7 linked regions of the Macaca mulatta genome follow. The protein of the gene in region 6 purifies or fractionates together with the protein of the main gene of each other region. This does not show direct contact. Links are inferred from orthologs where the notes say so. Each region holds a gene or a part of one and is shown on either strand. Other genes may lie near its edges.

Region 1 (2,755 bases), on a different chromosome or scaffold from region 6:
GAAGGTACTCCTTGTTGAAATGGGGTATTATAGTGTTATCCCAATAGCATTTATATATTTAGAATCATTTCTAGGAAAAAAACTCTTTAGTACCAAGAATGTCCCTTAACAAGTCATGAAATCATTCACAACTTACCAATTCACTTTACTAGTTTAAAATGAAATTTTAACCAAGTTTTTATGTGTGCCCAAAGCATCATCTTAACTTTTCCAGTTTTCTATTCCATTAAATCATGTCTACTTTAAAGGACAATTAGATGCAACAAATGTCATTATAAACCTCTTTTAAGTATGACAGCTTGGATGGACTAAGCACAATTTCTCCTCTTTGAAAAACTCTTCTCCTGCACTATCAGAAAGTATTCCGTAATAAAGGTACTGATTATGCATGCTTATTCTCTCATATATATACATATATATATACACACACTTAGTTCTCTTTAAGAAAATTCAGCTGTATTTATAAAAATATACAAGTAAAAAATTCAAATATTCATATACATAGTTAAGCAGTTTAAATTTTATTGACCTCCCAGTTTTTAAAAAAAGTTAAATTTAAGGTCACACCTCTAAGTTTGATATACTATATACAGATCGTGCAGAATATGAGTTAAAGAGATACAAATTAGTCCATGCCCAAAAAGATTATACTAGAGTACAGAATCATCTTCATAAATACATATAAAATTCTTGTGAAGATAGAAGGGCAACTGTCCAGGTTTTCTGAGACACTTATTTCTAAGTGAATCAAGGCACAAAATGTACACTATTGTTAATACACACATTCTAGACTTTGTGCCTCTGACATAGCCCAAGGATTTCGCTTCATGACTCTTATAAAACTAAATGTACTGAATGAGATTCTGCTTCTTGGGTGAAAAACCACAGGAACTATAAACATCATGTAGATAATTACTCCAAAATATGGAGAATACAAATACGAGCACTTTATTTTAAAAAGCAAACACAAAAGATTGGTGTAAATCCAAGTGTTTAAATGCTTCCGTTTTGGATAATTTAATTAAGAACCGATACAAGTTTGTTCCCAGAAGCTAATGCATCACTAGTCTCTACTGAGGAAAATGAATTCTAAAAATTAACATGGTTTTCAGTAATTCAAATTTCACTATTTATATAAAAACCTAGAGAGACCAATAATATCCAGTAGCTTCAAAAGATAAGCTAAAGACTCTTTGATATAATCAACTTTACCAATGTTTGTGTGGGTGTGTTTAATATATACACAAGGAAAATACACTCACCCTATAATTTCTTATAAAATAGCAAGTAAGGAGTAGAAGTAGGAGATGTAGAAGGGGAAAGAGAATTCAGAAAGTCCTTCTCTTCAGTAACTTTGACTTCAGAATCATCAAAAAGCAACCACTTCCCCTCATACTCCTTTAAGCTTTGCACTACATATGAAATTTTGTTCTCAAATCCACTAATATTAACGCCTGTTTGGTCACTGGATTCCTTGTTTCTATCAGATTCATGGGTCCCATTAGTATCGTTAGTCTCAGAATTTCTATTTTCGGCAAACGCTGTACTAGCAACCTTATCAGGATTAGAGGCTTTGTTGTATAGCTCATAATCTGCTTTGCTCTTTTGTCCTCCAAGAAGTCCAATAGCTTCTACATTTTTTTTGTTCAAAACTTTACTTGGCTGTGTATTTCCACCAACTCTAATCGACACTTCTTCATCATCATAATTCTCAACCACACCCCTTGCTTCCTCCTCATTCAATGGTTCTGGCTTACCTATTTCACACATTTGGTCAACCACAAAATTTCCTTTATCTAGTTCTAAACTGTTAAGGTCAGTGACTTTAACAGAAGCAGTGTAATGCCCACTACTAATTGTAATGCCACTATGCATCACAACCGCAAACAATCCATAGCTGTCGTTAGTTGGCTTTGTGCTCCATTCTTCTAGTGACAATTTAAGAGGTGTCAATAAAGGAGTGTTGATCTTGGAAAGTCCACCACCGTAACAATCAAACCTTTGGGAGGAAAAAAAGAAAAGGTTTCCTGCAGTTACATTTTAAATTCAAAATGTTATACCCCAATCTGAAACCAAGTAAAAATCTGAATGAACCCTTAATATTCAGTCTTCATATATCAGAAAAGCAGAATCAAAACAAGACCCCAACTTTGAATAATATTTGTAATATATGCAGAAACAAAAAAATACTTAATAACTTCTAATATTCAGGCATTTCTGTGGAGGAAATAATTGTATTTTTTCCTTTATTTTCCTAATTTTGTGCAGTAAGAAAATAAATGGTATTTTAAATAGCCTGAACCTGAACTGAAAATGTTACATTTTAGGTTTTTTTTTTTCAGACAGGGTCTGTCACCCAGGCTGAGTGCAGTGGTGAAATCATGGCTCACCACAGCCTTCTGGACTCAAGTGATCCTCCCACCTCAGGCTCCTCCTCCTCAGCCTCCTGAGTAGCTGGGACCACAAGTGCCCGCCACCACACCAAACTAGTTTGTGTATTTTTTGTAGAGATAGGGTTTTGTCATGTTGCCCAGGCTGGTCTTGAACTCCTGGGTGCGAGCCATCCACCTTGGCCTCCCAAAGTGCTGGAATTACAAGTATGAGCCACCCACGCCCAGCCCATTTTAGTCATTTTTAGTGTGAAGTTTTTCTCTACCAAAAATTGGGAAAGTAAGTAAAATATTATTTTTTACTATTAGCAAACGGAAGGTCCACTGAATAAGGGGCTATATGTTATCTTCTGACATAACCAAGT
Region 2 (3,500 bases), on a different chromosome or scaffold from region 6:
TCGGGCCTGATCCCTTCCCCCATCCCTGGGGCCCACATGTCCAGCTTTTCCTTTCTCTGCACTCCCCCACTCTGTGGGACCCCTATCCTGTCATCTAACGATGGGTTCTGTCTGCCTCTTTTTTTTCCTTCTCCTTGTACATGTCCATCCCAAAGTGCCCTGTGCTGAAGGGTCGAGTGCAGAAGATCTTGCATTGGCGGTGGGGGGAGCCGCCTGTAGCAATGCCAGCCCCTCAACAGGCAGACGGGAATCCAGATGTCCCAGCCCCGCGTCCTCTTCAAGGCAGATCAGAGCGAGAGTTCTTTGTCAAGTGGGTGGGACTATCCTACTGGCACTGCTCCTGGGCCAAGGAGCTTCAGGTACTAGGACCTTTGCTTTTCCTCTCCCCCATGACCTCATTTCCTGCCATCCTCTCCCTCTCTTACTCCTCTGTTTGCTGGGTTCCCATACCCTTCATTTTCTCTCGTTTCAGGCCTCTGGCCTTTATACCCTACTTGCTTAGTTTCCATCTGTGGTTCTTTTGGTCTACAGTCCTCTTTCTCTCAGTCTCCATTAGCTTTCTTCCCTCAGATATAGCATAGCCTTTCTTAACTTCACGTCCTTCCTTATCTATCTTTTTCCATGTTTTATAATATTCCTGGCTGGGCATAGTGGCTCACACCTATAATCTTAGCACTTTGGGAGGCCAGGGGAGGATGATTGCTTGAGACCAGCCTAGGCAACATAGTGAAACCCTATCTCTATTTAAAAAAAAAAAATTATCGGCTGGGTGCGGTGGCTCACGCCTATAATCCCAGCACTTTGGGAGGCCGAGGGAGGCGGATCACCTGAAGTCAGGAGATCGAGACCGTCCTGGCTAACACAGTGAAACCCCGTCTCTACTAAAAACACAAAACATTTAGCCAGGCATGGTGGTGGGCGCCTGTAATCCCAGCTACTCGGGAGGCTGAGGCAGGAGAATGGTGTGAACCCGGGAGGCGGAGCTTGCAGTGAGCCAAGATCGTGCCCCTGCACTTCAGCCTGGGCTACAGGGCGAGACTCCATCTCAAAAAAAAAAAATCTCAATGTTTATAACCCCATTCCCTATCTCCTTTTGCTTATAACAGCCCCACCCAGGCGGTGTCTTCTGAAACTGTTGCATCTGTTTCATTTTATTTATTCTCCTGTTTTGACTTTGACTCATTTGTCTCTAATCCATCCTTTTTCTTCCTTTCTTTTTTCTTTTCTTTTTTTTTGAGATGGAGTTTTGCTCTTGTTGCCCAGGCTGGAGTGCAGTGGCACGATCTTGGCTCACTGCAACCTCTGCCTCCCGGGTTCAAGCGATTCTCCTGCCTCAGCCTCCCAAGTAGCTGGGATTACAGGCGCCCGCCACCACGCCCGGCTAATTTTGTATTTTTAGTAGAGATGGGGTTTCTCCACGTTGATCAGGCTGATCTCGAACTCCCAGCCTCAGGTGATCCACCTGCCTCAACCTTCCAAAGTGCTGGGACGCGCCTGTTATTCTCTTATTGCCCAGGCTGGAGTGCAGTGGCGTGACCTTGGCTCACTACAGCCTCCACCTCATGGGTTCAAGAGATTCTCCTGCCTCAGCCTCCTGAATATCTGGGATTACAGGCATGTGCCACCACACCTGGCTAATTTATGTATTTTTAGTAGAGATAGGGTTTCTCCATGTTGACCAGGCTGGTCTTGAACTCCTGACTTCAGGTGATCCGCACCCCTGAGCCTCCCAAAGTGCTGGGATTACAGGCATGAACCACCGCGCCCAGCCAATCTATCCTTTTTCATAGCTCTCTTTCCCTGTCCCATTCCTCCTGCTGGCCTCTTCCCCGTTCCCTGTTGTCCTCTGTGAGTGTCAGGCCTGTCTCTTCCTCGTTTTTCTGTGCCCTATCAGCTGGAAATCTTCCATTTGGTTATGTACCGAAACTACCAGCGGAAGAATGACATGGATGAGCCCCCGCCCCTGGACTATGGCTCCGGCGAGGATGATGGGAAGAGTGACAAGCGTAAAGTGAAAGACCCACACTATGCTGAGATGGAGGAGAAGTACTATCGTTTTGGCATCAAGCCAGAGTGGATGACTGTCCACCGTATCATCAACCACAGGTGAATCCTTGGCCCTGGGAAGTAAGACCTGGTATATGACACTATTCTTACCATGGTGATAGCCTCATGTTAGTATTTGCTGATTAACCAGGTAATTGATCTAACCTTGATAACCTCTGCTGTAGCTTCAGCCTTTCTGGCCTTGTTTCCTCCAGGGGAATGGGAGAAAACAGGAGGAAAGTTCGGCCAGGCAGTGCCTCTTTTGTCATCTCCAGTGGCATAAGACATAGCACATGAGTCTGGGGATGAGGGCATGAAAGCAAAACATGAGAGACATAATTCATCCAGACCAGTGTTCTGAATATTTCTTCTTCATGGTACTTATTACTGCCTAAAGTTACGGTATTTATTTAGTTATTTCAATGCTGTCTTCCCCATGAGACTCTGAGGTCCATGAGGAAAATACTTAGTGATTAGGTGAACAAATGATATAAGGAGGGATCTCCAGGAATGTTTTGTGATAGTTGATTTTTAGGATACCATCCTGAGAAGGTTAGGCTGCCAGGTTAACTATTCTCACGTCCCTTCCAGCGCCCACTGTTGAAGGTTGGGTGACAAATTTTGTGTGTTTGCTGATAATTGCGTTTCTCAGGCCTTCTTGCTGTTTGTGATCTATGCAATTTTTGTTTCCTCCTGCTCCTCCTTATGGCCTCCTGCCCCACAGTGTGGATAAAAAGGGGAATTACCACTATCTAGTAAAATGGAGGGACTTGCCATATGACCAGTCCACGTGGGAGGAAGATGAAATGAATATCCCTGAATATGAAGAACATAAGCAAAGCTACTGGAGACACCGGTGAGGGAACGAGCCTGTGGATTTGAGGGATTCTGAGGATGAGGGCCTGAAAGCTAAAACTCCAGCATAAAATGAGGGTATAGAAGGGACTGATTCAACCTGGAGTTCAGGGCAATGGCCACCTGGGCTGGGTGGTTTGAGATGGGCTTGCTAAAGAGGTAGTGTAAGGAACAGAAACAAGATCTGGCTGAGTAGTGGAGAAGAGAATGTTCAAGAGTGGGGAGGGCTGGTTCTTGAGGTGAAATCCAAAGGGCAAGGGTAAAAAGCCTGGGAAAAAGGAAATATGGGAAAATCTAGGTCATGGACAGTGGGAAGTAGGTCTGGAATGGGTTCAGAAAAGAAAGCGTAGGACTCCCAAAGATGAGGCCTCATTCAGAGCCACTCTTTTTCCAGAGAACTAATTATGGGGGAAGACCCTGCCCAGCCCCGGAAGTATAAGAAGAAGAAGAAGGAGCTACAGGGTGATGGGCCTCCCAGTTCTCCCACTAATGATGTGAGTCCTCTCAGTTGGCATTTCTTGTTTCTGGAGCCATGGTGATCGAAGATTTCCCAAGGGCTATTGATGGAACTTCCCAGAGATTCAGTAACCTCTGTGAAC
Region 3 (4,106 bases), on a different chromosome or scaffold from region 6:
TCGCTGAGCCTCCCACACTAACTCCACAGCCAAGTCTGAATTCAGAAGGGGTTGACAGGGACTGGGAAAGCTTTAGGACTTTACTATTCTGAGGAAAAGATGAAGAGAATTTTCCTGATGATGCAATCCCGTTGCTGATCACTAACAGACCTGCATACTAAGAACTCGAAACTTCTGTTCTTAAATGCAGGGTGTGTGTGTGTTAAGGAGAGGAGTAGTCCCAAAACCAAAAAAATGCCTTGTGATCCCCTCATTAGGCACCAGACCACTACTAGACCTCCTGACAACCACCCTGAGGTCCAATGACTACGCAGAAAATTAGTATCCCACTAAGAGACCAAATGGTCCTTGTGTGAGGTAATTTCAGCACTGAGAACCCTTCAACAGGGTCAGACCCCAACCTGCCTTACACAGTGAGCACGCTGGAAGGGTGTGTCCTGGAAATCCCATGTTAAAGCATTCTGCCAAGACATCCATCTAGGAGCGCCATGAAGATTTGAGAAGCCCAGAAGGCCATGATAAGAAGGTATCTGACAGGTAAGCTGTCCTCTAGGTTTCAGATGCCTAAGGAGTCACAGTATCGCTTCTGCTACTACTGACTTCCCAGATTCCCATCAGGAGGTCTTGGACATCACAAGGCTCTGCTGCCATCCCCAACATGGAAGGAGCCTCAGCTGTTCGACTCAAATGAGACAGATGACCTCCCCTCATGATATGAAGAGGGCACCAGGGACACTGCTTCTCCTTATGACTTTGGCCCTTCTGACTCACTTCAGAACCTGGGCTGCTCACGACAAAAGCCCACTGTGTCCTCATCTTGTATTTGGTGGTGGTCAACCAAGCTGCTCTGAGAACAGCTGCAGTCTAGACCTAAGAGGTTTTGGGGATTACTGAATTACATTACTAGGTTTACCTTTTTCAGGACTCGAAGGAGGTAGCTTCCAAAAAAATTTTCACTTCACGTTAACAGCAAAGGTGTTCCCACTGGCAATCTCCTCTGGAGGCCAGGGCACTGAGCTAATTCTCAGCAGGATCTGGGAACCGAATATAGGCCAAAAGCCTAAGTTCTACCGCTCACGCAACTATAAGACCAAACAGTCAAAAGACCAGCTGTATTCTATTGTATTCAGTCCTGACTACGTTCTTACAAAGAACTGATGGGCTCTTCTGCAGCCAGGAGAGAAGAATTTTAAGAGTGTGCTGCTCTCTATTCCTGGCCCAATCACTAATCTGTTCAACTCCAGGGAAGTCACTCCCCCTCCTGGGAATGGAGAATGTGCTTCAATTAAATAATCTCTGGGGCCTTTGCCTGTGACTACTTTCTCGGTTAAGGAATCCAAAAATGGCAGAACAATAACGACTTTTAGATAGTAAATTAAAAAAAAAAATTTAAGTATAGATTTGTAAACGGAAGGCCAGAATGAAAAACTGAAAAATTACAAAGGGATTCATGCTAAGAAATGGGTGGTGGGGAAAAAAAAATCAAAGCGAACAGCCTTCTGAAAAGATGGCTTTTGATGAATTCTCAGTCAAGTCAGTGATCCCGTCAAACCTGCCTTCGGGGACAGGATTTCCACATCGGTTCCCTGTTTTCTTGCTATAGGTATCTTAAACACAGAACCCTTCTCTCGCTCCCTGCAACCTACAAACAGAAGAATTGGTCAGAACTGTAAAAAACGCGGACTCCTACGGGCTGCTGCTTTCTGGGCCAGGGTGGGTAGCTAAGGCAGCAGGCGCAGGGCCGCCCCCTCTACCCGGGTGGGTTACCTGAGCACAGTCACGCTTCCCCTGCGCACCGGCAGGGAAAGCACTGGTTCCGACACCCGAATAGGCTTGAACTGGAACTTGCAGCCGAAGCACAGCGCAGAGTCGCTAAAGAAGGACACGGACACGATGGGGCGCTCGAAGATGTGGATGGGGTCCACGTGAGACACGATGCAGCCGCCGGGCTGGTAGTCGTTGATGACGGCGCTGTTGACGAAGCCCTCGGGGATGACGCGGTGTTCCACCAGCTTTTGGATCACCAGCTGGTGCACCCACTCGGGGATCTCGTCCACGTCGCCCGGCGGGTAGAGGCGCTCCTGGCCGGGCCCGCGCTTCTGCAGCTGGGCGCCGTAAGTGTAGCCTTCGCCGAAGAAGTACTTGTTGCGCAGTGGGGCCCGGTCCACCGTGTGCTCGTTGTACAGGCCCTTCTCAGCGCGGGACACCACCTCGTCAATGCGGGCCTCGATCTTGGCGCACTCGTCCTGGCTGAACAGGCGCATCTGGCGGATGCCGCTCTTCACCTTGCGCGCCTCCTCCTCCTTCTGCAGCTGCTGCTCCTCGTAGTCGCTGCGCTCGGGGTCCGAGTCCTCCTGATACTTGCGCTTGGCCCCGGACACCGGGTAAGGTTCGGCGGCAGCGGCGGCTGCGGCTGCAGCAGCCACGGCGGCGGCGGCGGCGGCGGCGGCCTCCCGGCTGCCCGCCTTATAGTTGTCCCGGGACGTCATGGACTTGAGCTTCTCACGCAGGTCCGTGTAGCCGCTGGCGGCCGCCATGGCCCCCGCGACGCTGCTCTAGGGTCCTCCGGGGCGGGCGGGGCAGCCGGGCATGGCTCTAAGGGGACGCGCCCCGGGGCCCCCGGAAGGAGGGGGGTCCTTAGCGCCGAACCCCCATGCGTGAGTGGGGGACCCGGCGGGGGGCGTCGAGGGTCCGGGCGTGGGGTAAGGCCTCAGGAGCGAAGGGTCATGCAACGGTGGCGACAACGGGGCTTCTTCCTCCTCCACCTTCTCCACGTCCCGGGGGGCAGGGGCGTCGGCAGCGCCTCATGCCGCGGAGGGCTGCTGCGGAGACGCGGCCCGACTCCCGACCAGACCCTCGGACGCCCGGCCCGGCCCGCACTTTAAAGCTCTCCTCACGACGTCACGGGCCGCCAGCCCGACGTCCGCCAGCGCCGCTCCTTAGCGGGCTCCTCACCGCGCACGCGCAGTGCCGCCGGCCACCGCGGCTCCGCGCGCTACGGGCATGCGCGTGCGTGCAGGCCGGGTGGCAGAGGCGCCGGCGCAAGCGCAGACAGGGACCGCTCGCCGTCCGCCGCCCCTCCCCCACTCGCTGAGGGGCTTCGAGGGAGCGCTCTCAAATAGCAACCTGTCTTCACGCCGCGCCGCCTCCAGGACCGAAGGGCTCCCTCTACAGGGGTGCGCTCACACTGCCAAGAGTGTCGCCATGCCGCGTCACGGCATCGTCCGAATGCCCGCAGACGCCTCAACCCCAGCGCGCAATCACCGGGGAACCGCCACAACCTAGGCCGCTCCGTTACCTCCCCCTTTAGCGCTTCCACTCCTTTAATTGGGCCGTGGGCCACGCGCCGGGCAGGCCCTGGCTGGAGTTTCCGGAAGTCGGTTGGTAATCATGCGTGTCAATCAGGCAGTCTCCTTGGTTACTGCGTCCGTCACTTAATTAGCGGCTGGGCGAGCAGCGAGGACCCCTAAAGGAGAAATGGTTGGCTAAATAAGTGCCTGAATGGAGACTCCGCCTGAGGAAAGCCTTTAGGACTCCTAAGGAAACTTCTGAAACCCGCGAAAACTTCTCAAACTGCGGGACCGAGAGCACCCAACCCCACCTCTGAACCCAGATAGGAACGTCCGGCACAAGCCAGACGCGCGTTGTCGGGGTACAAGCCAGCCTGCCGCCGCTGCCGCCGCCGCTCGGAGCGGACGTTTCACGAGTCACGTCCCGGTGAAGGCGGGCGCGGGGGCGCGCTGGGGTTGGCGTCGAGCCTCGTTGGTGCTGGAGATGGGCGTGGGGGCACCTCCTACGGGGACGACGGAAGAAAACTCCAGGAAACAAACGGGCGCAAGGATAAGGCTAAGCTATAGATAGTGACTACAGTCAATTCAAAAAAGTTTTGAAGCAGTCAGCCAAGGCGTGGCCGGGCTCGGGGGCTCACGCCTGTAATCCCAGCACTTTGCGAGACCAGGGCGGGCGGATCACTTGAGTCCAGGAGTTCGAGACCAGCGTGGCCAACATGGCAACCCCATCTCTACAATAAAATTTCAAAAAAAGAACTGGGCGTGGTGGCGCGCGCATGTGGTTCTAGCTCCTCAGGAGGCTGAGGTGGGAGGACC
Region 4 (3,500 bases), on a different chromosome or scaffold from region 6:
CTTCTATTATATTAGGTCCCTCCATTAGACTCTCAGGTGTTTTTTTTCCTCACTGCATTTACCAAGTTTATAATTATATATCTGTAGACAACAAGAGGGAGCCTGGAGATGACTTCAGGCAGCAGGTAAAGGAAGAGTGGAAGGAAGTGGGGAAACCCTGAAAGTTAGGTTGGAGAGCTCGTGTACAGGGTGGCATTTGAGGGGACAGGGCAAGGGCAAACAGAGGCCACCGAGGTTTCTATGTAAGAGGTTCACGTAGGGCAAACAGGGGCCACCGAGGTTTCTACGTAAGAGGTACACGTAGGGCAAACAGAGGCCACCGAGGTTTCTACGTAAGAAGTTCACGTAGGGCAAACAGGGGCCACCGAGGTTTCTATGTAAGAGGTACACGTAGGGCAAACAGGGGCCACCGAGGTTTCTATGTAAGAGGTACACGTAGGGCAAACAGGGGCCACCGAGGTTTCTACGTAAGAGGTACACGTAGGGCAAACACCAGAGGCCACCGAGGTTTCTATGTAAGAGGTACACGTAAGGCAAACACCAGAGGCCACCGAGGTTTCTACGTAAGAGGTACACGTAGGGCAAACAGGGGCCACCGAGGTTTCTACGTAAGAGGTTCACGTAAGGCAAACACCAGAGGCCACCGAGGTTTCTATGTAAGAGGTTCACGTAGGGCAAACAGAGGGCCACCGAGGTTTCTATGTAAGAGGTACACGTAGGGCAAACAGGGGCCACCGAGGTTTCTATGTAAGAGGTTCATGTAAGGCAGACACCAGGGGCCACCGAGGTTTCTATGTAAGAGGTACACGTAGGGCAAACAGGGGCCACCGAGGTTTCTATGTAAGAGGTTCATGTAAGGCAGACACCAGAGGCCACCGAGGTTTCTATGTAAGAGGTACACGTAGGGCAAACAGAGGGCCACCGAGGTTTCTATGTAAGAGGTACACGTAGGGCAAACACCAGGGGCCACCGAGGTTTCTATGTAAGAGGTACACGTAAGGCAGACACCAGGGGCCACCGAGGTTTCTATGTAAGAGGGTCACGTAAGGCAGACACCAGGGGCCACCGAGGTTTCTATGTAAGAGGTTCACGTAAGGCAGGATTCTGTTACTTCAATGCATCCTCCTTGGAAAGGCAACATGAGCAAAATTAAATCTTTTATTCCAGCCCATTCTCTTTGTAAATCTCTAAAATAAACCTTTAGAAATGAAACCAAGTTTCACACCTAAAAAATCTCATGATTCCAAGAATTGAGGCCCAATTTGAGTAAGTTTTGCCACACAAAAAGCTTCTGTTCAGTTTCTTAATGAAATGGCAAAAAGGCATCTCAAAACCCCTACACATTTTCAGATTCTATTTCATCCAATACTGTTTCAATAAATAATCTTTTAAAAAATTAGATATTAAAGTGATGACTTAGGTTTACCATCATTAGGCAATTCAAGTTAAAAAAAAAAAAACAAAGACCTCTAGGTCTTGTTCAGCATTTAAAACGAATCTTTTGTTTTATACTGTTAACTAAAACCTCAAGCTAACATATTAAACATTCTCAACAACATGCCACAAATAAGTTCTTTTTTAAATAAAGTTGAAGAGCAGTAACATTTCCCCCAAGTTTATTAGTTTTAAAAACTAAAAAGCAAAATGCAATTGATATTTTTAAATTTTGTAATGGTTTATATTTATAAAATTATGCATAGTATTTTCCTCATGTTCAGTCACAATGCTACTTGGCTTTCTTATACTATTGAATAAGCTATTACAGAACTCCTGAAAATACTGTAACCCTAATTTTAGACTGAGTTACAATTAAAATCATCACCAAGCAAAAGTAAACAGACAATATACCTCTTCTTTTTCTCAGTTAATATTCAAAACAAAGATTTTTGTTTCGAAAAAGTAGAAAATCAAGTTCAATCAATCATGACATGGCCTACATTTAAGCTGACTTTTATACTCTCCCCACCAGGGAAACTCTGGAAACCAAGGTGTATCACAAGGCCTTGAAGCCTTACCTGGTAAGGCCCAGTTACCCCCAGCTTTTCCTGTGTCTACAGTTTGCCAGGACTCCTAGGAATTCAGGCACATGGGAGCATACATTCCTGAATCAGGATTTTAACATCGACACTGCCTGTGAGACATAGCCAATTTCAAAGCTGTAGTGAAATGCAAACAACTTTTAATGCTCATCTCTGTCAACAGGAAGACCTTTGATTTATGAAGACTCATTGTTTATCATCAAAGCGACCAACAGTAACTAAAAAAAAAACTTTCGCTATTTGCAGTGTCAGGCGTTTTGTGCCACAAGCTGAAGGCAACTGGTTCCCCTTTTCACCCACAGGATTAAAACATTCCAGGAATGAGAAAAAACTAAGTTAGGCTATATGAGACCTATGGCAATAATCCCCCAGATTTGAGGCTAGTCTTTTTTTTTTTTAAAAAACAAAACAAAACAAAACAAAAACCAAACCAAAACAAAACAAAAAAAAACAAGACTATACTTTTTCTTTGGCCCCCATTTAAAATAAAGAGTAAAAGAAATACTGCTTTTCCCCCCTTTTCTTTCCCTTAAGACAAAAAGAAAAGAGTGAACAGATTAATCTTCTTACTCATTTAGCAATGGAAAATAGACCAAGAATTCAGGAACATCCACAACACCTTCCAGGTTGAAGTCATATTTGCAGCCAAATAAAGGATAATCTCCTTTCTTCTGAAATTTCACAGTATATATTTCATTTCCAAATGATTCTGTTTCTGAAGCTTCAAGGCGTCTTCTGTCAAGGTTATCCCCCAACCAAAATAAAAAGAATAAAATTGTGATTAATGTAGACTTATTTTGATCAGATTTTGCATGTGAAGAACTACATGATGCACACTTGATTAGCTTTTTAATTAGATATGGGCTTTTTTTTTTTTTTTTAAAGTGACAAGGTCTTAATCTGTCACTCAGGCTGGAGTGCGGTGGTGTGATGATAGCTCACTACAGCCACCAGCTCCTGGGCTCAAGTGATCCTCCTGCCTCAGCCTCCTGAGTAAGGACTACAGGGGTGTGCCACCACGCTGGCTAATTTGTAAATTTTTCGTAAAGACAAGGTCTCACTTTGTTGACCAGGCTGGTCTCAAACTCCTGGCCTCAAGCAATCCTCCTGCCTTGGCCTCCCAAAGTGCTAGGATTATAGACATGAGCCACTGCACCCTCCTGATCTCAGTTACTTTTAAGAAGCAATATACTAAAAGATCATCAACAGTCACACCAATAAAATTAAGCTGGAAATAGGAATCACTCTCATGAGCGCTGGTTAAGTCTCCGTGACTGTCTGTCGGACCTGCAGTTTGTCTATCACTATAACTTCAGTCTCTAACTCACACATGAAGATTGGTTCAGTCTCCGTGACTGTCTGTCTGACCTGCAGTTTGTCTATCACTATAACTTCAGTCTCTAACCTACACATAAAGATGAACTTTTAAAAGTTCATCTGTAAATTTGTCTATTGAATTTA
Region 5 (2,684 bases), on a different chromosome or scaffold from region 6:
TTTTTTTTCCTCTATTCTCCATTCTTTATGATCACTTTGTACAACCTTTAAAAAAGTCACTTCAGGTTGACTACTTTAAAAACAAATCAGGGTATTAAGAATTATTTCGGTGTGCCTTTTACAATTGCAAACAATAAAGGTAGGGATACTATCTCCCACCCTTCTGAACAGATACTAAAATGTTTTGCTCACCTAATTTTAAAATTTGAACAAGAAACAATATTTAAATAAAGAGAGGTAGAAAGACAATAGGTGGAAAATAAAAAGTAGTCCAAAAAGGCAAAAGAAACACATTAGAGTAGGGTTCTTGAATTGGTCCACTTAGTCACTGCCTTCCAAAAGGTCAAATTTCAAAAAAACTCTCACTTTTCAGTTATAATTATCAAAACAATAATCATCACATGGCAAACTATAGAAGGAGCCAAAGATTCTCTACTCAAGATATAAAGAGATCACAAAATTGTCTTAAAATACAAAGAAAATTTTATTTGTATATCAAAGACTCTAAGAAATGATGACATAAGGTTAACAGAGTTGATGTCAAGACACAAATAGGTTTGAAGTTATAGATGATAAATCACTTTGTTTTACTGAACCTTCCCTTGGTTATGTTAGAGAGCATCCCTGGTATGCTCCCAGTTGAATCTTAAGCATGATGTGTCCAGGTGATACACTTGTAATTCCTTTCTGTTAATCCTCGTTATCTCTTTTTTTTTTCTTTTTCTTCTTTTTCTCTGGACTCTGAAAATAGCCAACAAGAATGCTTTGAAAGAGCTGTAATTGTATGGGTGACTAATCACTTTTCTTCATAAAATGCAAAATCAATCTGTTTCCCTTGAAAACAAATTCAGGGAAAAGATTAAAATTGAAAATATAAAAACCCCACCTATAAAAGTAAGTTTCAGCAAATCATACTCTTCCTCTCAATGCAAACTCAATTTTTAGTAATAAATTCTAGATTTGGGAAATGGCCTTTTATAATGTAAATACAACAAAGCCATTTCACTTTTACCTCCCCATCAATGAAAACCATTTTTTAAAATGCCTGCTCATTTCTGATATAGAAAATAGATTGAAATGTGGAGAACTGGCCCCTCCAAGTGAACATCGATAATTAAAAACAAACATACAGCAATTGCTGTGCTGGTACATGGTTCTTCCTCAGAAAGTGGTTCTTCCTTAATGTGTTTCTTTTTACCCTTTTTCTTCTTCTTCTTCACAGATGTTTCTTCTTCTTCTGCCACTTTTTCTTCTTCTTCCTCTTCTTCAACTGAATAGAGTAAGTGTAAAGGCACAACAAATTAACACTATATCAGATCTCACTCTTTCCAAAAACGTTTGAGTCCTAGGTTTTTTTCTGTCATTCTCATCAACTACCCAATGTTTGTTTTGTTTATTTTATAATTGGGAAGGTTCTCCAAGGCCTACGACTAACTTTAACAAATGATACAGATAGAGCTCAGGCAATTTTCTCACGAGCATGAAATCATGTATAAAAATCAGGATTAAAACAACGGTCATCTGATCTCCAATCATTATTGGGAAGAGAGTCAATTATATTAGAAATGGTTAAGAGCTTGCACTCTGAAGTCAGAAGGCCTGGGTTTAGTCTACTCTCTACAACCCTGAAAAATTGTATTTACCCCTGGTAAAACTACATATCCTCATCTATAAAACTTAAGAATGTCTTATCTTACTAGATTGTTACCGAGACTTAAAAAGATGATGCATAGAAAGTACAAAGTATAATGCTTAGCACACATTACAATAAGGACTCAACACGTAGCTATCATTAGACATTCAGTGACCAGCTGGGTGCAGTGGCTCACACCTGTAATCTCAGCACTTTGGGAGGCTGAGGCGGGAGGATCACTTGAGGTCAGGAGATCAAGACCAGCCTGTCCAACGTGGTGAAATCCTGTCTCTAATAAAAATACAAAAAAAGTTAGCCGGGCCTGGTGGCACATGCCTGTAATCCTAGCTATTCAGGAGGATGAGGCAGGAGAATCACTTGAACCCAGGGGGCGGAGGTTGCAGTCAGCTGAGATCACGCCACTGCACTCCAGCCTGGGTGACAGAGCAAGACTCTGTCTTGTGGGGGGCAAAAAAAAAAAGAGGGAGGAAATTGTGGGATGAAAAATTGACAGATAAATCGGAAAAGCTTATTGGATACACAATTGAGGATACAAAAGACAGAGTTTGGTGCCTCAAATGCTACTAATGGGTTTAGGGATCTCCTTACTTTTCAATAAAAAGAAGCATAAAAGTTAAATAAATTACTTCTCTATCAAGTATACTATCCACATTTGTAGAACATACACTTTTGACCACTAAGCTACTTAGAAACCAAGTTAAAGCAATCATTGTGTTAATGCTTTACTCTTTTGCTAGACTTGCTAGTAGGTGTTCAAGAAACCCAGGTTTAACTAATAATGGGGCCCCTGCTTATCAGCTTCACAAGACAGCCTAGTTAACTGGTGAGCACCTACTGGATATTGTAACTATGACGGCAGGCTACCAGTATGTGTTCCTTCTAGTCCACTCCAGATAACAGAAACAATGAAGAAAATCACTGTACCATCAATTCCATATAACTATAAAACAAAAAATTTTCAACAACCAATTTAGAAAACACATTCCTTTTTTCTCTTAATTCTCAAAATAGTTCATGTAGTAGAAACTCA
Region 6 (3,500 bases):
CTATTCGGGAAGCTGAGGCAGGAGAATCACTTGAACCCAGGAGGTGGAGGTTGCAGTGTGCCAAGACCATACCAGTGCACTATAAGCCTGGGCAATAAGAGCAAAACTGTCTCAAAAAACCAAAAAACAAAAAAACAAGAAAAATAGACGTTGGCATGAATGTGGTGAAAAGGGAACACTTTTACACTGTTGCTGGAAGTGTAAACCAGTAAAACCACTATGGAAAACAGTGTGGAGATTCCTTAAAGAACTAAAAGTATATCTACCATTTGATGCCCAATCCTATTCCTGGGTATCTACCCAGAGGAAAAGAAGTCATTATACGAAAAAGATACTTGTACACACAGGTTTAGAGCAGCACAATTCACAATTGCAAATGCACAGAACCAGCCCAAATGCCCATCAATCAACAAGTAGATAAAGAAAATGTGATATATATACCATAGACTACTACTCAGCCATAAAAAGGAACGAAACAATGGCATTTGCAGCAACCTGGATCGAACTGGAGACCATTATTCTAAGTAAAGTAACTCAGGACTGGAAAACCAAACATCAGATGTTCTCATTCATTAAGTGGGAGCTAAGCTATGAGGACACAAAAGCGTAAGAATGATACAATGGACTTTGGGGACTCAGGGAGAAAGGACTGGAGGTGGGTGAGAAATGAAAGACTACACACTGGATACAGTATATACTGCCTGGGTGATGGGTGCACCAAAATATCAGAAATCACCACTCAACAAGTAACTCATGTACCTAAACACCACCTGTTCCCCAAAAACCTGTTGAAAAAAAAAAAGAATCTCATGGACTCCCAGAGAACTCACAGATCACATTTTGAGAACCATTGTTTTAAGAGAACTGAAAGGATAGTCTCTTAATACAGTATATTAATTGTATGCAGCCTAATTTCAATAAGCTTTACAAATTCTTCCTTCATGCTATGCTTTATTTGCAGTCCCTTCGTAAATGTGCACCTTCAAGTTATGCTTTAAATTTGCTTTTTAAATAATAAAGAGAACCAACAAAAACAACAGTTTGTCTGAAAACAGATAAAATTCTAACATTTTAAATTTTAACAAAAATTATCTTTCTGTTCACCTTACTATTGGTTGCTATATTCTTTTAATTGTATTTTTCTGCCAATGTCCCAAAAGCATAGTCCTTACCTTTGCAAATTCTGGAGGTGGACTTTTCCCTCTACAGAGATTAGACAAAGCCCATACTGCATTCCGGGTCATGGTCAGGCGGTTTTGCTTTGAAAATAACCTACAAGCACGATGGTACAAGGGTAAACTATATAACAGACAGTGATTATCTGATGACATAAATACTAAATAATACTTTTGATAAAGAGATGTCTTCAGACAGCTTTTCTCCAAAACATTAAAACTTCATTAATTCTGATGCAAGTAATTCAGAATTTTGGCACGGAAAAAGATAGGGTGCTGGAGGAAATGATCTATACAAGAAAATATCTGGAATAAAAAATAACACTAGAAAATCCAAAATGATTTCCAAAGATGTAACGCTTTCTGAGGAATCTCTTACATTTTTATTCTCAAAAAGGAAGAAGGAAGAAGAAACTTACTGCAAAAGAGGGGGAAGGATATTGCAGTCTAAGACATAGTCCCTGCACATGGTACTATCTCCAGCAATGTTGCCAAGAGCCCAGACTGCCTGTGAAAGAATCATTCATTAATAAAGGCTACATAGTTTAATTCCCTCATAATTCTTTCAGATGCCAGTATACCACAATAACACGTTCATCGGCGAGTCAAATGAAATAGTTGTAGGATTGGGGGGAGAAGATAAGTAGTATCCAAGAGTATACAATAAACAGAGGTTTTCAGTTTATTAAAGGAAAGAACTAATTCTTTTTTGTTTGTTTTTGTTTTTTGAGGCAGAGTCTCACTCTGTCACCCCGTCTGGAGTGCAACACAGTGAAACCCCATCTCTACTAAAAATACAAAATTAGTCAGGTGTGGTGGTAGGCGCCTGTAATCCCAGCTACTCGAGAGGCTGAGGCATGAGAATTGCTTGAACCTGAGAGACAGAGTTGCAGTGAGCCGAGATTGAGCCAATGCACTCCAGCCTGGGTGACAGAGATTGTAAGACAGAAAGAAAGACAGACAGAAAGACAGACAGAAAGAAAGAAAGAGAGAGAGAGAGAGAGAAAGAAAGAAAAGCAAAGTAAAGCAAGAAAGCAAGAAAAAGAGAAAGAGAATTTTCTTGCTTACATAAGAAAACAGTGAACAAAAAGAAGTTTGTTTTCTGTACCCTTCTGCACAAAAGTAGCAAAGACTAGCCACTTTCTTTTTTTTGAGATAGGTCTCGCTCTGTTACCGAGGCTGGAGTATGGTGGTGTGATCTCGGCTCACTGCAGCCTCCACCTCCTGGAGCTCAAGTGAACCCTCCCACCTCAGCCTATCAAACAGCTGGGACAACAGGCGTGTGCCACCATGGCCACCTACTTTATTTTCTGTAGAGATGGGGTTTCACCATGGTGCCCTGGCTGGTCTCGAGCTCCTGGGCTCAAGCAATCTGCCCACCTCAGCCTCCCAAGTGCTGGAATTACAGGCATGAGCCACAGCAACTGGTCTACTTTCAACACTTGAAATTTCTACAAGAAAAAACCTCTATCAGTAACTGCTTACATGGTCTAAAAAAGTACATATACATAGCTTAAAGAATGTCAGGTTTGGAAGGGGAAGATTATTTTGTGTCTAAGAGAAATTCCGCCTACAGTCACTAAGACATTTTCTATTTGATTAAGACTAAATTTCTAGAACACTCCTTTGTGACAATCCATAGATTACCAAAGCCAACTGGCAAAACTCAGCCCCTTATTATGACTGAAGGGAAATACTGTTTCTTTTTTCTTTTTTTTTTTTTTTGAGACGGAGTCTTGCTCTCGTTGCCCAAACTGCAGTGCAATGACGCGATCTCGGCTCACTGCAACCTCCGCCTCTTGGGTTCAAGTAATTCTCCTGCCTCAGCCTCCCAAGTAGCTGGGATTACAGACACACACCACCACGCCCAGCTAATTTTTGTATTTTTAGTAGAGACAGGATTTCACCATGTTGACTAGGCTGGTCTCGAACTCCTTGTGATCCACCCACCTCGGCCTCCCAAAATGTTGGGATTACAGGCATGAGCGACGTGCCCAGCCGAAAAATTTCTTTCAGCTGCTTCCTTTTGTTTCATTTTTACCTGTTCCTGGACATCTTCAAACTCTGAGCTGAGCAACTCTATGAAGATAGGCACAGCTCCTGCCTGAATCACAATCCGGGTCTGAAGAGAATTTCCTGAAGCAATATTTGTCAGTACCCAAGCTGATTCAAACTATAAAGATAAAAATAATTTTCATTATCATTTTAGAATGTAAAAGCTTATTTACTTATAACAGTAACATTTTCTGTACATGAAAAAAAGATTCTGAGATCATTATTTGCACGTAACCTATCAGTTGAGTACTTTATTAATTTTAAAAGAAC
Region 7 (4,228 bases), on a different chromosome or scaffold from region 6:
CCACGTCTACGGTGAGCAGGGGCGTGGAACCCTGCTGGAGGGGTGGGGGACAAGGTGGAGCCCAGTTTGGGCTCGGAACGCTGGGCGTGTGTCATTGGGTGAGAGTCCAGAAACCTGAAGATCCAGCCCAGGAGGCCCCTCCGGCCCTCGGGACCGGGAAGGCTTTCCTGGAACGCGACAGTGGGTGGCTGCGGCTGCCGGAGCGCCTGAAACGGTGTAGCTCTGGGCCGTGGGTGGCGGTGGGTAGGAGGTCGGGCTGAGGCCGGCCACTGTGCTAGGCGTGTGGCCGGACGGCTCCGATGGGACCGACATCAACTCCCTGTGCCGCTCCCACAACGAGCGCGTGGTGGCGGTGGCCGACGACTTCTGCAAAGTGCATCTATTCCAGTACCCGTGCGCTCGTGCCAAGGTGAGGCCGCGGGGGCCGCCGGGGTGGGACGGGTGGGCCCGAGGGCTCCGCCGCCACTGCAAGTCTTCCCTCCCGCCCAGGCGCCGAGCCGCATGTACGGGGGCCACGGCAGCCACGTGACCAGCGTCCGGTTCACGCACGACGACTCGCACCTTGTCTCGCTGGGCGGCAAGGACGCCAGCATCTTCCAGTGGCGAGTGCTGGGCGCTGGGGGCGCGGGGCCGGCGCCTGCCACGCCCTCTCGAACCCCCTCCCTGTCCCCCGCCTCCTCCCTCGACGTTTGATCGCTGCCGGCGGGACCTACTGGCCTGGCGGCGTGGCCCCGCCCCGCTCTGCCCCGCCCTAATCCCCCACGACCAGGGGCCGACTCTTTCCTCGACTGACTTCGAAACATTCCCGACGGTGCATTTCCCTGGAGGGCGCGAGCGGCGCCCCTGCACACACTGTTTAGACCCGCTGGTTGAGCCGGGCAGCCCCAACCTAGGCCTTGACTCCCGCTGCCTGCTGAGGGGCAATAAACCAGAACCAAAGTCGCCTCCCGGTGCTTTTGTGGGGCGCTGCTGGGTGCCTCCGGGGCCCTGTGGGGTGGGGACGAAGGAAAAGAGGCGTGCGGAAAGGGCAAGGGAGCGTAGACCATTTATGCAAATAACAGGCAAAGCCGCTTGCAAATAACCTGGCGAAGCGCTAAGGCGCGCGAGTCTTCGGGGCGGGAGGAGGAGTTGCAGGGCTCCAGCTAGGACAGAGTTAAGCCCCACTCCTCTCCCGCCCTCGGAAAAAGGGGTGGGGGGGGTGCCGAGCTGCAACGGAAATAGCCGAGCGATTGGCCGACAGGAGCCGAACTTCTTCCGGAAGTAGCCGATCTGCGGGGTCTCGCTCTCCGACCTGAGCCGAGCAGTGGGCCTTGTTCTCCGGATCGGCCGAAGGTGTTACGGAAGGAGGCGAACCCTGAGGCGGGCCGGGCAAGCCTTCCCTGCGGCCGGCAGAGCTCAACGACTAGTGGGACTCGGCGGGGGTGGGGGCAGCTGCAGCCTGGCAGGAGCCGAGCTCGTTCCGGAAGAAGCCGAGCGGACCGGGGCCAGCCTCAGCGTCCCGGGAGTGAGGCGATAGCTGCGGCGGCGACAGCGCGGGCCGGGATGAACCGCGACGGCTGAGGCAGCGGAGGTGACGGCTGCGCGGGCCCCAGTGAGACTCCCTCGAAGCGCCAGCCCACCGTTCAGGGCTTTGCCTCTAGCCGAGCCCTGCCCCCGCGAGCCTCCCGGACCCCTTTGTGCGGCCGGAGGCGGCGGCGGGAACGGCCATGGCGGCCAACATGTACCGGGTGGGAGGTGAGTACCGGGCGCAGGGGTACAGGGTCCGGGGCGGGAGAGGTTGTGGTCGGGACCGGAGGGGCTCGGCACCGGGTGGCGCGAGGCGCAGCGTATGGGGCGGCATGGACCGGAGCGCGGACCGGAACCGGAACCGGGAGACGAGGAGCTAGGGTGCGGGAAACCGCGACGCGGCAGGGCGCCGAGACTCCTGGAGAGAAGCTGCGGGCAGCCCCGACGGCACTTTCAGGGCTGCGTCGGGGGCTCCTCGGGGCACGGAGTGGGCTTCGGAAACCGGTTCCGAAGGAGCTGACAGGGTGGGGAGGGAACGCGAGGGGCTGGGGCGACGGCTTTGCCACCGCGGAGGAGCCGCCCGGAGGTTTCCTCTTCCCAGGCGTTATTGTGCGCCTCAGTTCGAAAAGGTGGGGGCCCTGCGCTAGAGCGAACAATTACTTCGCCGCGACTGAGGTGCAACTCGTTGCTGAGTTGTGGGGACTGCAGGGGAATCCCTGCTTCTTGCCTGTTCCTTAAGGCTCACTTTTGAGTAATGGATCTGATTTTAGAACTAGGTGCGGTGGGGGTGGGGGACATCCTTATTTTCTCTTAGTCTTTACACTTTCACATCTCAGCGCGCTCTCTGCCTGAATCCTTATCTTCTTTTGATCCACTCAGGCCAACTTTCTCTCCTACTCTGGTGCTCTGCGTCTCTCCCATCTCCTCTGATCTTCGTGGTTCTCCCCCCTCCCTTCCCTTACAGATTACGTCTATTTTGAGAACTCCTCCAGCAATCCTTACCTGGTTAGACGGATTGAGGAACTCAACAAGGTGAGTGGAGCAGAATCTCTCTCCCTCCCTCCCCCAGTGGTCTCTTCTGAGGTTTCTAACTTCGGGTGGAAGAGAGGACCCTATACTAAGTACCCATTCATATTCATTCATTCATTCATTGGATGTATTCAGGAAAGGCTATTGAGAGCTTAGCAGGAACTTTACTATTCTGTCTCTTGGGGGCAAAGGAAAGGGATTTGGAAGTCTGTCCTTGAATGTAAGTGTTTACTCATATTTTCTTGGGCTTTTTAATTTAGGTCCCTCTGAAACTTACTGTTATTTGTCTCTTTGTGTATTTCTGTTCCCAGATGATCAATTTTCACTGCTACGTTGTTTTGTTTCTGTTTTTGTTTTTTTCCTCCCCTTAGACTGCAAATGGAAATGTGGAGGCAAAGGTCGTCTGTCTTTTCCGGCGCAGGGACATTTCTAGTAGCCTCAACAGCTTGGCTGATAGTAATGCCAGTGAGTATCTTCATCCCTTTCTTTTCCCCCTCCCCATGATCTGAGGCCTGCGCATGTCCCTGCAGGTATTTCCCCTGGTAGCATGCCCAAGGCAGAGGTGTGAGTTTGAGGGTGGGAAATGCCTGGCCTGAGGAGGGAGACCTGTTTTTACACGTTGGGGTTGGAAGCAGGGTGGAGAGATTGTGATATGGTTTGTGTATGAGAGTAGGAGAGAGACGATAAGGTTGATTTAGGGGATGAAGACGGGGTTTAGAGAAACAGAATGCTTTTCTAAAGGGGGGCAGTTTGGGGTACACTGGGACAGTAGGTGGTGACTGAAGGTCAAGGTGAAGAGGAAGAGATTGTACTGAGAAGCCCGCATAACAGAAGCAGCCTTATTTTGTAATCACAAGGTGGTGAGAATACCTGGAAGTTAGAAGATGGCTGGAAGTTTTCTTGCACTTTTTAATTTCTCACCTTGCCCATTTCCCCACCTGCCACCCCCCATTTTACATCTTTCCCTTTTCATTTTGCTCTATTTTCATCCTCTTTAAGGTCTCATTTTCTTTTTTTAAAAAAAAATATTTTCCTTAGCTGCTTTTTCCTTTCCTGCTTTGGTTTTCTTTTTCCTTCCTTTTGTTCCACCTTTCTAAATCATTTTCCTTTTTCAGACTGCTCTGGGTGAGAAGGGGTTAAAGAGGAGCCTGGCTAACCAAGTTCCCTGGCCCTTTAGGGTTTCCAGCCCCATCTGGCAGGGGCTGACCTTGGCCTTGTCCAATCAGAAGGGGTGTTGGGGGTGTGGTCCCCCTTGCCTTAGCACAGGGTTTCCGGAGCACACAAGCGAGGGGTGGAGCCTACTGAACAACCCCCCCTTCTCCCTGAGGTTGGGAACAATGCACCAATGAGCCTGGGCCTGAGGCTTTTCTGCCCCCTCCCACTTTGGTTGGCGCCTAGCCAGATTAACCCCTTCCACTAGGTTTCAGGGCAAGCTGCAGCTCTTTCAGGAGGAAGATGTTGGCACTAGCTTGAGAGGTGTTGTCCTTGAAAACCCTAGGAACTATTATTAGCCAAGTAGAGAATGAGGGATAGTTAGGGCTGCATGTGATGTTTTAGTGCAAAGAGTCTCCTGAAATTGAAAAGAACTGGTAAACACAGTCTTGTGTGATTTTTTTTTTCATCTTACTGGGTTGCTGGACCTCAGGCTGGTTTAGCAAGAGACAAATGTAATGTTCTTGCTGGCCTGTTGTGG

What was found.
Region 1: the proteins of KPNA1 (region 6) and USP1 purify together in Homo sapiens (co-immunoprecipitation; 6 studies listed by BioGRID and IntAct, with this or other methods). This does not show direct contact. The link is inferred for Macaca mulatta from reciprocal best matches to the Homo sapiens genes KPNA1 and USP1.
Region 2: the proteins of KPNA1 (region 6) and CHD3 purify together in Homo sapiens (affinity purification with mass spectrometry; 3 studies listed by BioGRID and IntAct, with this or other methods). This does not show direct contact. The link is inferred for Macaca mulatta from reciprocal best matches to the Homo sapiens genes KPNA1 and CHD3.
Region 3: the proteins of KPNA1 (region 6) and ALKBH5 purify together in Homo sapiens (co-immunoprecipitation; 3 studies listed by BioGRID and IntAct, with this or other methods). This does not show direct contact. The link is inferred for Macaca mulatta from reciprocal best matches to the Homo sapiens genes KPNA1 and ALKBH5.
Region 4: the proteins of KPNA1 (region 6) and RNMT purify together in Homo sapiens (co-immunoprecipitation; 4 studies listed by BioGRID and IntAct, counting the BioPlex papers as one, with this or other methods). This does not show direct contact. The link is inferred for Macaca mulatta from reciprocal best matches to the Homo sapiens genes KPNA1 and RNMT.
Region 5: the proteins of KPNA1 (region 6) and NOP58 purify together in Homo sapiens (affinity purification with mass spectrometry; 3 studies listed by BioGRID and IntAct, with this or other methods). This does not show direct contact. The link is inferred for Macaca mulatta from reciprocal best matches to the Homo sapiens genes KPNA1 and NOP58.
Region 7: the proteins of KPNA1 (region 6) and MTA2 purify together in Homo sapiens (co-immunoprecipitation; 3 studies listed by BioGRID and IntAct, with this or other methods). This does not show direct contact. The link is inferred for Macaca mulatta from reciprocal best matches to the Homo sapiens genes KPNA1 and MTA2.

The regions. Positions count from the first base shown.
Region 1 is NC_133406.1:178,189,643-178,192,397, forward strand, and holds the end of USP1 (ubiquitin carboxyl-terminal hydrolase 1), read right to left. Parts: intron 2,000-2,755; coding exon 1,264-1,999; 3' UTR 501-1,263; downstream 1-500. UniProt on the Homo sapiens protein: Negative regulator of DNA damage repair which specifically deubiquitinates monoubiquitinated FANCD2. Also involved in PCNA-mediated translesion synthesis (TLS) by deubiquitinating monoubiquitinated PCNA.
Region 2 is NC_133421.1:9,402,499-9,405,998, forward strand, and holds part of CHD3 (chromodomain-helicase-DNA-binding protein 3), read left to right. Parts: intron 1-155; coding exon 156-359; intron 360-1,894; coding exon 1,895-2,106; intron 2,107-2,770; coding exon 2,771-2,902; intron 2,903-3,295; coding exon 3,296-3,395; intron 3,396-3,500.
Region 3 is NC_133421.1:19,758,640-19,762,745, reverse strand, and holds the start of ALKBH5 (RNA demethylase ALKBH5), read right to left. Parts: upstream 2,801-4,106; 5' UTR 2,538-2,800; coding exon 1,768-2,537; intron 1-1,767.
Region 4 is NC_133423.1:84,414,143-84,417,642, reverse strand, and holds part of RNMT (mRNA cap guanine-N(7) methyltransferase), read right to left. Parts: intron 2,775-3,500; coding exon 2,610-2,774; intron 1-2,609. UniProt on the Homo sapiens protein: Catalytic subunit of the mRNA-capping methyltransferase RNMT:RAMAC complex that methylates the N7 position of the added guanosine to the 5'-cap structure of mRNAs. Binds RNA containing 5'-terminal GpppC.
Region 5 is NC_133417.1:107,482,558-107,485,241, reverse strand, and holds the end of NOP58 (nucleolar protein 58), read right to left. Parts: intron 1,925-2,684; coding exon of another isoform or gene 1,832-1,924; intron 1,271-1,831; coding exon 1,131-1,270; intron 742-1,130; coding exon 691-741; 3' UTR 501-690; downstream 1-500. UniProt on the Homo sapiens protein: Required for the biogenesis of box C/D snoRNAs such as U3, U8 and U14 snoRNAs. Part of the small subunit (SSU) processome, first precursor of the small eukaryotic ribosomal subunit.
Region 6 is NC_133407.1:161,315,039-161,318,538, reverse strand, and holds part of KPNA1 (importin subunit alpha-5), read right to left. Parts: intron 3,349-3,500; coding exon 3,217-3,348; intron 1,684-3,216; coding exon 1,595-1,683; intron 1,273-1,594; coding exon 1,173-1,272; intron 1-1,172. UniProt on the Homo sapiens protein: Functions in nuclear protein import as an adapter protein for nuclear receptor KPNB1. Binds specifically and directly to substrates containing either a simple or bipartite NLS motif.
Region 7 is NC_133419.1:11,464,263-11,468,490, forward strand, and holds the start of MTA2 (metastasis-associated protein MTA2), read left to right. Parts: upstream 1-1,428; 5' UTR 1,429-1,706; coding exon 1,707-1,734; intron 1,735-1,852; exon of another isoform or gene 1,853-2,135; intron 2,136-2,470; coding exon 2,471-2,538; intron 2,539-2,906; coding exon 2,907-3,000; intron 3,001-4,228. Other genes in the region: EML3 (echinoderm microtubule-associated protein-like 3), read left to right, coding at 1-11, 279-409, 490-693. UniProt on the Homo sapiens protein: May function as a transcriptional coregulator. Acts as a component of the histone deacetylase NuRD complex which participates in the remodeling of chromatin.